2 linked regions of the Arabidopsis thaliana genome follow. The protein of the gene in region 2 interacts with the protein of the main gene of each other region in a pairwise test. Each region holds a gene or a part of one and is shown on either strand. Other genes may lie near its edges. The genes, in order: TOPP6 and AT5G44040.

Region 1 (4,943 bases), 300 kb from region 2:
GATTTGTTTGCGGAATTATTGAAATCAGATTTGGAGTATTTGAATACAGATAATTTGAACAAGATTAGTTTAGCTTCGAAATGGTGTCCTTCTGTTGATTCTTCGTATGATAAGACTACTTTGATATGTGAGGCTATTGCTAGAAGAATGTTCCTTAGAGAGGAATACGAAGAAGGTATCGAAGAAGTGCATTATGCATATAGGATTAGAGATAGGTTGAGAAAAGAAGTTCTTGTCCCGTTACATAAAGCTCTTGAGTTGCCAGAGGTGTCTATGAGTGCCAAGGAATGGAATCTGTTGAAGTACAATAGAGTTCCTTCTATAGCCATGCAGAATTATAGTTCACGCTTTGCGGAACACGATAGCGAGAGGTTCACCGAGTTTTTGGAGGATGTGAAATCCGGGAAGAAGAAGATGGCGGCTGGTGCGTTGCTTCCTCATCAGATTATCAGTCAGCTTTTGAATGATAGTGAAGGTGAAGAAGTAGCAGAGCTTCAATGGGCGAGAATGGTTGATGATCTTGCCAAGAAAGGGAAGTTGAAGAACTCATTGGCGATTTGTGATGTCTCGGGAAGCATGGCTGGTACACCTATGAATGTTTGTATTGCGTTAGGGTTATTGGTTTCGGAACTTAATGAAGAGCCGTGGAAAGGGAAAGTTATCACTTTTAGCGAAAACCCGCAGCTTCATGTTGTCACGGGTTCGAGTCTGAGAGAGAAGACTAAGTTTGTTAGAGAAATGGATTTTGGAATCAACACAGATTTCCAGAAGGTGTTTGATCGGATTCTAGAGGTTGCTGTCGAGAATAACTTAACCGATGAACAGATGATCAAGCGGTTGTTTGTGTTCAGTGACATGGAGTTTGATGATGCAAGAGTAGACAGCCATTCGGAAATGAGTGACTACGCGAGTAACTTGGAGAGTGACTACGAGAGTGTCCCGGAGAGTTTTGAGAAATGGGAGACGGATTATGAAGTTGTTCAGAGGAAGTATAAAGAGAAGGGTTTTCAGAATGTTCCTGAAATTGTATTTTGGAACTTAAGAGACTCGTCAGCTACACCCGTGGTGTCTAAGCAGAAAGGTGTAGCTATGGTTAGCGGGTTTTCGAAGAATCTACTGACTCTGTTTCTTGAGGAAGGTGGGATTGTGAATCCTGAAGATGTCATGTTGTTAGCCATTAAAGGTGAGGAGTATCAGAAGCTTGCTGTTTATGACTGAGAAGTTTTATTCATTTAAATATTGGATTTTGTGAGTACATGAATGAATCTTGTTTAAGTTTTTTTTTTTTTTCTAAGTACCTATGTCTAATAAGATACAGCTAAGAAAATGAAATGATCTATAGAAGTCATAAGATGAGGCATCACTCTTCGTTTCCTCCTAAACTTGGAATCTTTCCTTTATATCTTTTGGTTCTAATAGAAGAAAAAAGGCAAAAGCCAAACTAATATTCTCCGAGCTCTCTCTTTCCTTGTTATTCCTGAGGTGTCCTCTCACATCCGGTAGTTTCATAACGAATATGTTCTTTGTCATTGCCAAGTTGCTTAAGATGATGCGAACAAATCAACGAACAAGGTTTTGTGAATTACTCTGAATCCAAAAACATTGATACTGTGATGGAGAAAGAACGTTTTTTGTGCTCTACTTACACGCAAAAGTATCTTGAATTCGATTAGATTCAAGCCTAAAAAGCTCAACACAAAGAAAGTGTCTAAACTAGCTAATATGTTTTGACCATAAAAGAGAAAATATAGCTAACATTTTTGGTTATTAGATGTAGTTGAAGTTAGAACAATTAGGGTAGGTTTTTACCCATGGCTTTTGGCTACAAAGGAAGAAGAATATGTTTTTTGTAAATAGCCAAGTTGCTTAATATGACGCGGACGAATCCAAAAACATCGATACTAGAAGAAGAAGAAAGAGCGTTTTTCGCACTCAAAGTACCGGCGGAAAGATCTTAAATTTGAATCATGACGTACCGGACAGGATTCAATCCTGTGAAGCTTAACACACACACAAACAATGTGTTACTAAATTAGCTAGAATCTGATTATTATATGATTTAGTTGAAGTTAGAACAATGTAGGTAGGTATGAACACATGTGACTTTTGCTAAAAAGGTATGAAGAATATATTCTTAAACGCGGCTTTATAAAGCCCTTCTTGAATTTGACAATCACCATTCTTTTTCTCAAAGAGCAAGCATAAAAGAACATAAAAGCTCCATACTTTTTAAATTTATTCCATATTGTCAATAGCTTTTGTATATTATAAAGCTTCTAGGCGTTGTTGTTGTTTTGTCTCATTGTTGCTCTGTTTCTTGAGGTTTTATAAATGGATCCTGGTACTTTAAACTCGGTGATCAATAGGTTGCTTGAAGCTAGAGAAAAACCAGGAAAGATTGTTCAGTTGTCTGAAACAGAGATCAAACAGCTCTGTTTCGTCTCTAGAGATATCTTCTTGAGACAACCAAATCTCTTGGAACTTGAAGCTCCTGTTAAAATATGTGGTACGTTTCTCTCTGTTTCTCTCTGACTCTTTTCTGAGATTGTGCTCCTATGTAATCTTTTGGTTAAACAAATAATAAACAGGGGACATTCATGGACAATATCCGGATCTCTTGAGACTATTCGAACATGGCGGATACCCTCCTAATTCAAACTACTTGTTTCTTGGAGATTATGTCGATCGCGGCAAGCAAAGCCTCGAAACGATTTGTCTTTTACTTGCTTACAAGATTAAGTTCCCTGAAAACTTCTTCCTTCTCAGAGGAAACCATGAAAGTGCATCAATCAATCGTATTTACGGCTTCTATGACGAGTGTAAACGTAGATTCAGTGTCAAGATTTGGCGAATCTTCACTGATTGCTTCAACTGTCTCCCCGTCGCTGCACTCATCGATGAGCGGATTTTTTGTATGCATGGTGGGCTCTCCCCGGAGCTGCTAAGCTTGAGGCAGATTAGGGATATTCGTCGTCCAACGGATATTCCTGATCGTGGTTTACTCTGTGATCTCTTGTGGTCTGATCCTGATAAAGATGTTAGAGGTTGGGGGCCTAACGATCGCGGAGTTTCTTACACTTTTGGATCAGATATAGTTTCTGGATTTCTTAAAAGACTCGATCTTGACCTCATTTGTAGGGCTCACCAGGTTTGTTTATTGTTCCTTGTGCCCAAAGAAACATTTTTAACGTGTTTCCTTTTGACACAAGCAACGATTTTGTAACAGGTTGTTGAAGATGGATTCGAGTTCTTTGCGAATAAGCAGCTCGTAACGATATTCTCTGCGCCGAATTACTGTGGGGAATTTGACAATGCAGGTGCGATGATGAGTGTGTCTGAGGATTTGACCTGCTCTTTTCAGATCTTAAAATCTAATGACAAGAAATCAAAGTTCAGTTTCGGAAGCAGAGGTGGTGCTAAAACTAGCTTCCCTTATCCTAAAGTGAAGGTATGTATTAATCACATCACTTTTTAATTTGTGGATATACTGTAGCACAAAAAATGAAATATGGTAAATGCATAATAATTTGCTCTATTACTAAATGTTTTTGAATGATTTAACATTTTGAATCTGTTTGTGCTCCTCAATAATTTTAAATCTATTCGCATTGATAGATGAAACTTTGGATTAGTATTGACTTCACCGAATTAGACCTAATGTTAGTCAAAACTAACACTGTGGTATACTTGAAAATTGGTTTGCTATGTTTCTCACTAGTAACTTACAAGTAATTTATAGCCAAATCATTGTTGTCATGTCATGTTACAAGGCAAGCTCGGAATCTCTAACCATTTGATCTAATTAAACATGTTTATTTGCAGTCGATTCTGAGTTCGCAAAATTCGAAAGAATACAACTGATGAAGATTTAAAACTCCGCATAATAACTATTAGAAACCATGCCAACGTAACTCGACTACTATATGATGAGAAATTAAAGAGGATTTTGAATTTCGGAATTTTGGGAAGCTTCTGTTTTTGTTATGTTTTGTGTTGTCTGCTGCTATCACTTGTGTGTATGTGTTTTTATTTTTGGTTGTTGTTGTTGTAAATTTGGTTTGTAGTTGTTGGTGGTTAAATTTGATAATAAAACATGATTTCCTTCGGACCAAAGATATGTTTTTTTCTTTCCGGTTTGCATCTTCTTAAGTTGAAGGCACTTTTTGGCTAGCTAACTCTTGTGTCGATTGTGTGGCCAACAAGGCTTCTGCAGGATTGTAATTGGTAGAATGGATCCGGATATCCTAGAATTTGAAAAGTATTCAGAACTGTGCTTTAACAATCCAGATCCGTGACTTTTGGATATCTGGTTTCTAATATTGCAGATACCTAGAAAACTAATACTTATATATCTTGTTTTAATACATAATCATAATTGAATCAATTTAACTTGACATATCATTATAATATTGCTAGTGTTAACAAAATATTAAAATGATGACTTACCCATGTTGTACCACCGAGTTAATGATATTTAAATTTATATTAATGAAGATTCAAACTCGTCAAACCATATAACCCATACCGTGATATTTTAAACTTTTTATAAGTTAAACGTTGATAATATTTTGAAGTTTTTATACACTTTAAATAGATCAATTATAATATTTTAATTTTTTAAAAAGTTTAGAATTTATGATATCTGGTATAATTAAACGGTTTGACTAAAGAACCGAATTAAACTGAACAAATATTTAAATTTGGATGTTTGTTAAGTTAGGATTCCTACTCACTCATATTTCTTTGGGTTCAATTTGGTCTTATTTATGAGATTTTGGACACAAAGTTTTAGCTGATGTGAGACTTTGAACACAAATAATTTTATTTCATTATGTGAGTAATATATGGCTGTTTTCAAACATCCGAATCACAATATATCCAGAAAAAATTAGATTTTAATTAGTGTTATGTATTATATGATGATTCAAAGTAGTTTAAAAAAT
Region 2 (4,448 bases):
ATTAGAAATGATTATACTTTATTAACACCCTTTTGCTCTCTTTTGATTCAGATCAACAATTTCGCAAGCATATGGTTCTTAGCTCTGTTCCTATCAATCATTGCAACGGCTATCTTAGAACTCCGGTGGAGTGGTGTAAGCATCAATGACCTCTGGCGTAACGAGCAATTCTGGGTGATTGGCGGTGTCTCAGCTCATCTCTTCGCTGTCTTTCAAGGTCTTCTTAAAGTTCTCTTTGGTGTTGACACTAACTTCACCGTCACGTCAAAAGGAGCCAGTGACGAAGCCGATGAGTTTGGAGATCTTTACCTCTTTAAATGGACAACCCTTCTCATCCCTCCGACAACTCTCATTATTCTCAACATGGTCGGTGTTGTTGCCGGAGTTTCTGACGCTATTAACAATGGATATGGTTCTTGGGGACCGCTTTTTGGGAAACTGTTTTTCGCGTTTTGGGTCATTGTTCATCTTTATCCTTTCCTCAAAGGTTTGATGGGTAGACAAAACCGAACACCGACGATTGTTGTTCTTTGGTCTATCCTTCTCGCTTCGATCTTCTCTTTGGTTTGGGTTCGGATTGATCCGTTCTTGCCGAAACAGACTGGTCCGTTACTGAAGCAATGTGGCGTCGACTGTTAAATGAGGAACCGCATTTTCGTTTTGGACCGCTATTTTGAGCCATTTTGCTTGGCCTATTTTTCCGATTTGGGTGTTCTTTGTTGGATTATATGGATTTGTAAGGAGGAAAAAAAATACAAAACTTTGATTCACTTGTGAAATAAAGTAGACAAATTTCTGTAAAATACAAACAAATAGAATGAATATTACTAAATCAAATCACACACAAAACACAACGATTTTGTTATCAACCACACACACACAAACAAACAGAGTGATAAAAATAATTTCACAAAGGCAATGTAGTAACCAAACATGTGTGGAATTCTTTCTCTGTTGTGGAATTGGAGTTCTAAGAACTTCGACTGTACTTGTTCGTTGCCATTGAGTGACTGTTCCAGTAACCACCAACTGTTCCAATTATCGGTGATTCAGGGCTTCTACTTGGCGATTTCCTTGGCGAATTCGTAGCTGAGAACTGCTTTATCTCCTCTGCAGTTAACGCGCCCAATATAGGTCTTTCATCATGGCATTGAACCAGTTTCGAGTATTTCTTCTTCTCGGACATTGTGGTTTCAACACTGCTACAACCGCTGGTCGTGGTTTGTGATGTGGATAACCAAGTTGAAAGACTAGCATCAACAGCTATTTCTTGAGTTCTCTGTTTCTCAGTTTCATCTCTTGATTTCCGGTTCAAGCTGAATGTTGATGATAAATCATCAACCTGAGACTCCAAGCTGAAGGAAGCAATTATCACATTCTCCTTCCGAGGCTGTGTTTGAGTTGTTGTTCTTCCTTTGGCTTTCACAGCTTTCCATTGGGAAAGATTCTCAATCGGGTTCAGTACTGCATTGACATATCCACTTCTGTCTCTAACACTCACACTACCCTTTTCTTCAACCCTCTCTATATCCATAACATTATCCGCAATCTCCTCCGTATAAACTACTTTATCCCAGTTGTGCAGCTTGTCCTCATAATTGTCATCATTATAATAGTCATCATCTAGCAGCCCACAATCATCATCATCAGTATCCTCAAGATCGCTATCGTCACAATCCGTTACATCCTCCTCTTCATCATCACTCTCTCTGCAATTCTGATATCTATGGTTAGAAGGATAAGACCCTGACGAGTTAGAAGTAACATCGCTCCCTTCAGACGAACATCGAGCCTGCCTCGACTTCACCTCTTCTTTCTTCTCTTCAAAGAGCTCAACAGATTCATCTACTGCAATGTGTTCATATGTTTTAACATTGGTGTCAAAAGTTACTCTCTTACGATTTGGACTTGGACTCGGACTCTGTTTCTCCTCAACCTTGTCACTGCAGTTTAAAGAAAAGAATCAAATAAGTCAAATCTGTTGAGCTAAAACACAAAACATGAATCTAAGTAGAAAGAACAAAACCACAACACTTACCAGATATCAGTGATCGGAGTTACAGAAACTGTAGGGACTTTCTCAACAACGTTCACATGATTATCCTTTGGAGACACCTCCGAGATTTTAGGGACTTCCATAACAGTTGAATCTTTTGCATACTTTGGGACTTCTTCAACAGTAGGAACCCTAAGATTCAAAAGAACATCCTTTGCAGCTTCCTCAGAGATTCTCTACATAAAACGAAACAAAATTACTTCAGATAAAGCAAAACCCAACAAAAAATTGAAGCTGAAATTAGCTTAATTGCAGCAAATCAACACTAAGAAGAAGAACTTACGTTTAAACGTGGCTGAAAAGATTCTCTGCGTCTCTGACGGCGACGATTCTTCCGACGACCGAAGCAACCAAGTAAGCAACCCATTCTCTTCTACAATTCAAAGAGCTAACAACGAGAGAGATTGAAGGTAATAGATTCCTTCGAGAGCTTATAAATCGAAGATTAAAGAGTCAACATTGCAAAGAGATGATTTTTAACTGGACTTAGAGAGAAGAAGAAGAAGTGTTGTACTCATGGATTTGGGGGTTTAGGGTTTCCTTTTTTATTTGTCTCTTCAGATTTCCTTTTTTATTTGTCTCTTTAGATTTCCTTTTTTCTCTTTCTAATTTCAGGTTATAATTTATTAATTTTGGCGGAGTAAAAGTAGATGACCGTTACAAGTCTGATTTATTAGACTGTGAAATTGGACCGTTGTTATGTGGGCCATGGCTTTTATTAAAAAAAGAAGAGAAGGTATATTATTTAAATTGGAGATAATGGGCCGTTTTAAACCCAATTATTATTGGTCCACTAAAGTTTTTATATCCTCTAACTTCGACGAGCTTGATATAGTTTTGGACCTTTTGGTGTGAACGGTCACATTCAACTAAATTAAAAAGTCCAACAAACAAAATCTGGTCATGAAAAGCTTGGTGTGATGTTTCTAATAAGTAAATTTACTGAGGTTAATTGGTTGGTTTAACTTAAATGTAATCCAAACTCCTCTCCCTTTAGAGATTTTCAGTTGGGAATGAAAACCTTTAAAGCTTGCACCCTAAAATGACATTAATGGTTATAGATATAGTTTGTTTTCATGTTTCTTTTTTTTTTATATTTTCCTTTAGTTTTTTCTAGGGTTGGGACTAAATAATCGGACTCGGATCCGAGATCCGATTTGAAAAGCTGGATACCCAATTGGGATGGATCCGCTTCCGGATCCTGAATTTTTAGATTCAGATGAATATTTTTTTTTAAACTAAAGAAAGCATATCAGCATCACATTTTTGTGGTGATACTGCTTCAAGAATCTGTCACATATCTGTCCAAAAGAAAAGAATTTGTCACATATTGTATAATTTTAATATATTTATTGTTTTAGTTTGAAAACAAACGTGGAAAAAAACATCTTACAGGTGTCAGGTGTGCCGCGTCGTCCCACTCAAAGCCTATATCATCAATTTTCTGGCTGTTCTAATCTACTCAATTTATTTTTTTATTGTTAATTTACTGAAGATCGGCGATGGGAGAGAGAGACGACGAAGCAGAAGGTATTTTAGAGAAGGCGAAGATTCCTTTGTTAAAGGATCAAAATGTGGCAGAGGAGGAAAACGGAGAAATAAAGAAAGAGATATGGCTAGAGACGAAGAAGCTGTGGCGTATTGTCGGACCAGCTATATTCACTAGAGTCACGACCAACTTGATCTTTGTCATCACTCAGGCTTTCGCTGGCCACCTCGGCGAGCTAGAACTCGCTGCCATCTCCATCGTCAACAACGTCATTATCGGCTTCAACTATAGCCTCTTCGTATATATACGCAACAATACTTTTTATGTAGCTTATATTATAATGTTGGGTTTAATTTGTTAAGAAACTATATATGTTTATATGCAGATTGGAATGGCGACTGCGTTGGAAACGCTGTGCGGTCAAGCGTTTGGAGCAAAGAAGTATGACATGTTTGGAGTGTATTTGCAGCGATCTTGGATTGTTCTTTTCTTATTCTCCATCTTGCTCCTCCCAATGTACATCTTTGCGACTCCGATTCTTAAGTTCATGGGCCAGCCTGACGACATCGCAGAGCTCTCCGGTATCATCTCTGTTTGGGCCATTCCTACACATTTCTCATTTGCCTTCTTTTTCCCTATCAACCGGTTCCTCCAATGCCAGCTTAAAAATTCGGTATGTAACTTATGATTTGAAAGGTCAGTTGGTCACAACGGTGGGGGTTAGTCCAAATATCTTGTGAACTAGACGGCTCTATTTTTGGGGTAGACAGTGTTTGCAAAAATATTGATCAGTTTCCGTGTGAAATTGATGAGTAAAACTACCATTTCTTCATTGATGTTAGATTAACTTATTATAGAAAGTTAATTGATTTTTTCTAGATGCTAGTTATTTTTGGCAATATT

The links.
Region 1: the proteins of AT5G44040 (region 2) and TOPP6 interact in a two-hybrid assay, tested with the Arabidopsis thaliana proteins (one large-scale study listed by BioGRID).

The regions. Positions count from the first base shown.
Region 1 is NC_003076.8:17,419,215-17,424,157, reverse strand, and holds TOPP6 (type one serine/threonine protein phosphatase 6), read left to right. Parts: upstream 1-2,175; 5' UTR 2,176-2,331; coding exon 2,332-2,506; intron 2,507-2,588; coding exon 2,589-3,148; intron 3,149-3,226; coding exon 3,227-3,448; coding exon of another isoform or gene 3,449-3,475; exon of another isoform or gene 3,476-3,822; coding exon 3,823-3,861; 3' UTR 3,862-4,213; coding exon of another isoform or gene 4,214-4,228; 3' UTR 4,229-4,368; downstream 4,369-4,943. Other genes in the region: AT5G43390 (plant/protein), read left to right, coding at 1-1,218. UniProt on the Arabidopsis thaliana protein: Serine/threonine-protein phosphatase that possesses phosphatase activity toward para-nitrophenyl phosphate (pNPP) in vitro.
Region 2 is NC_003076.8:17,718,926-17,723,373, forward strand, and holds AT5G44040 (eisosome SEG2-like protein), read right to left. Parts: upstream 2,682-4,448; 5' UTR 2,424-2,681; coding exon 2,340-2,423; intron 2,233-2,339; coding exon 2,039-2,232; intron 1,944-2,038; coding exon 971-1,943; 3' UTR 734-970; downstream 1-733. Other genes in the region: CESA4 (cellulose synthase A4), read left to right, coding at 52-639; AT5G44050 (MATE efflux family protein), read left to right, coding at 3,559-3,843, 3,931-4,218.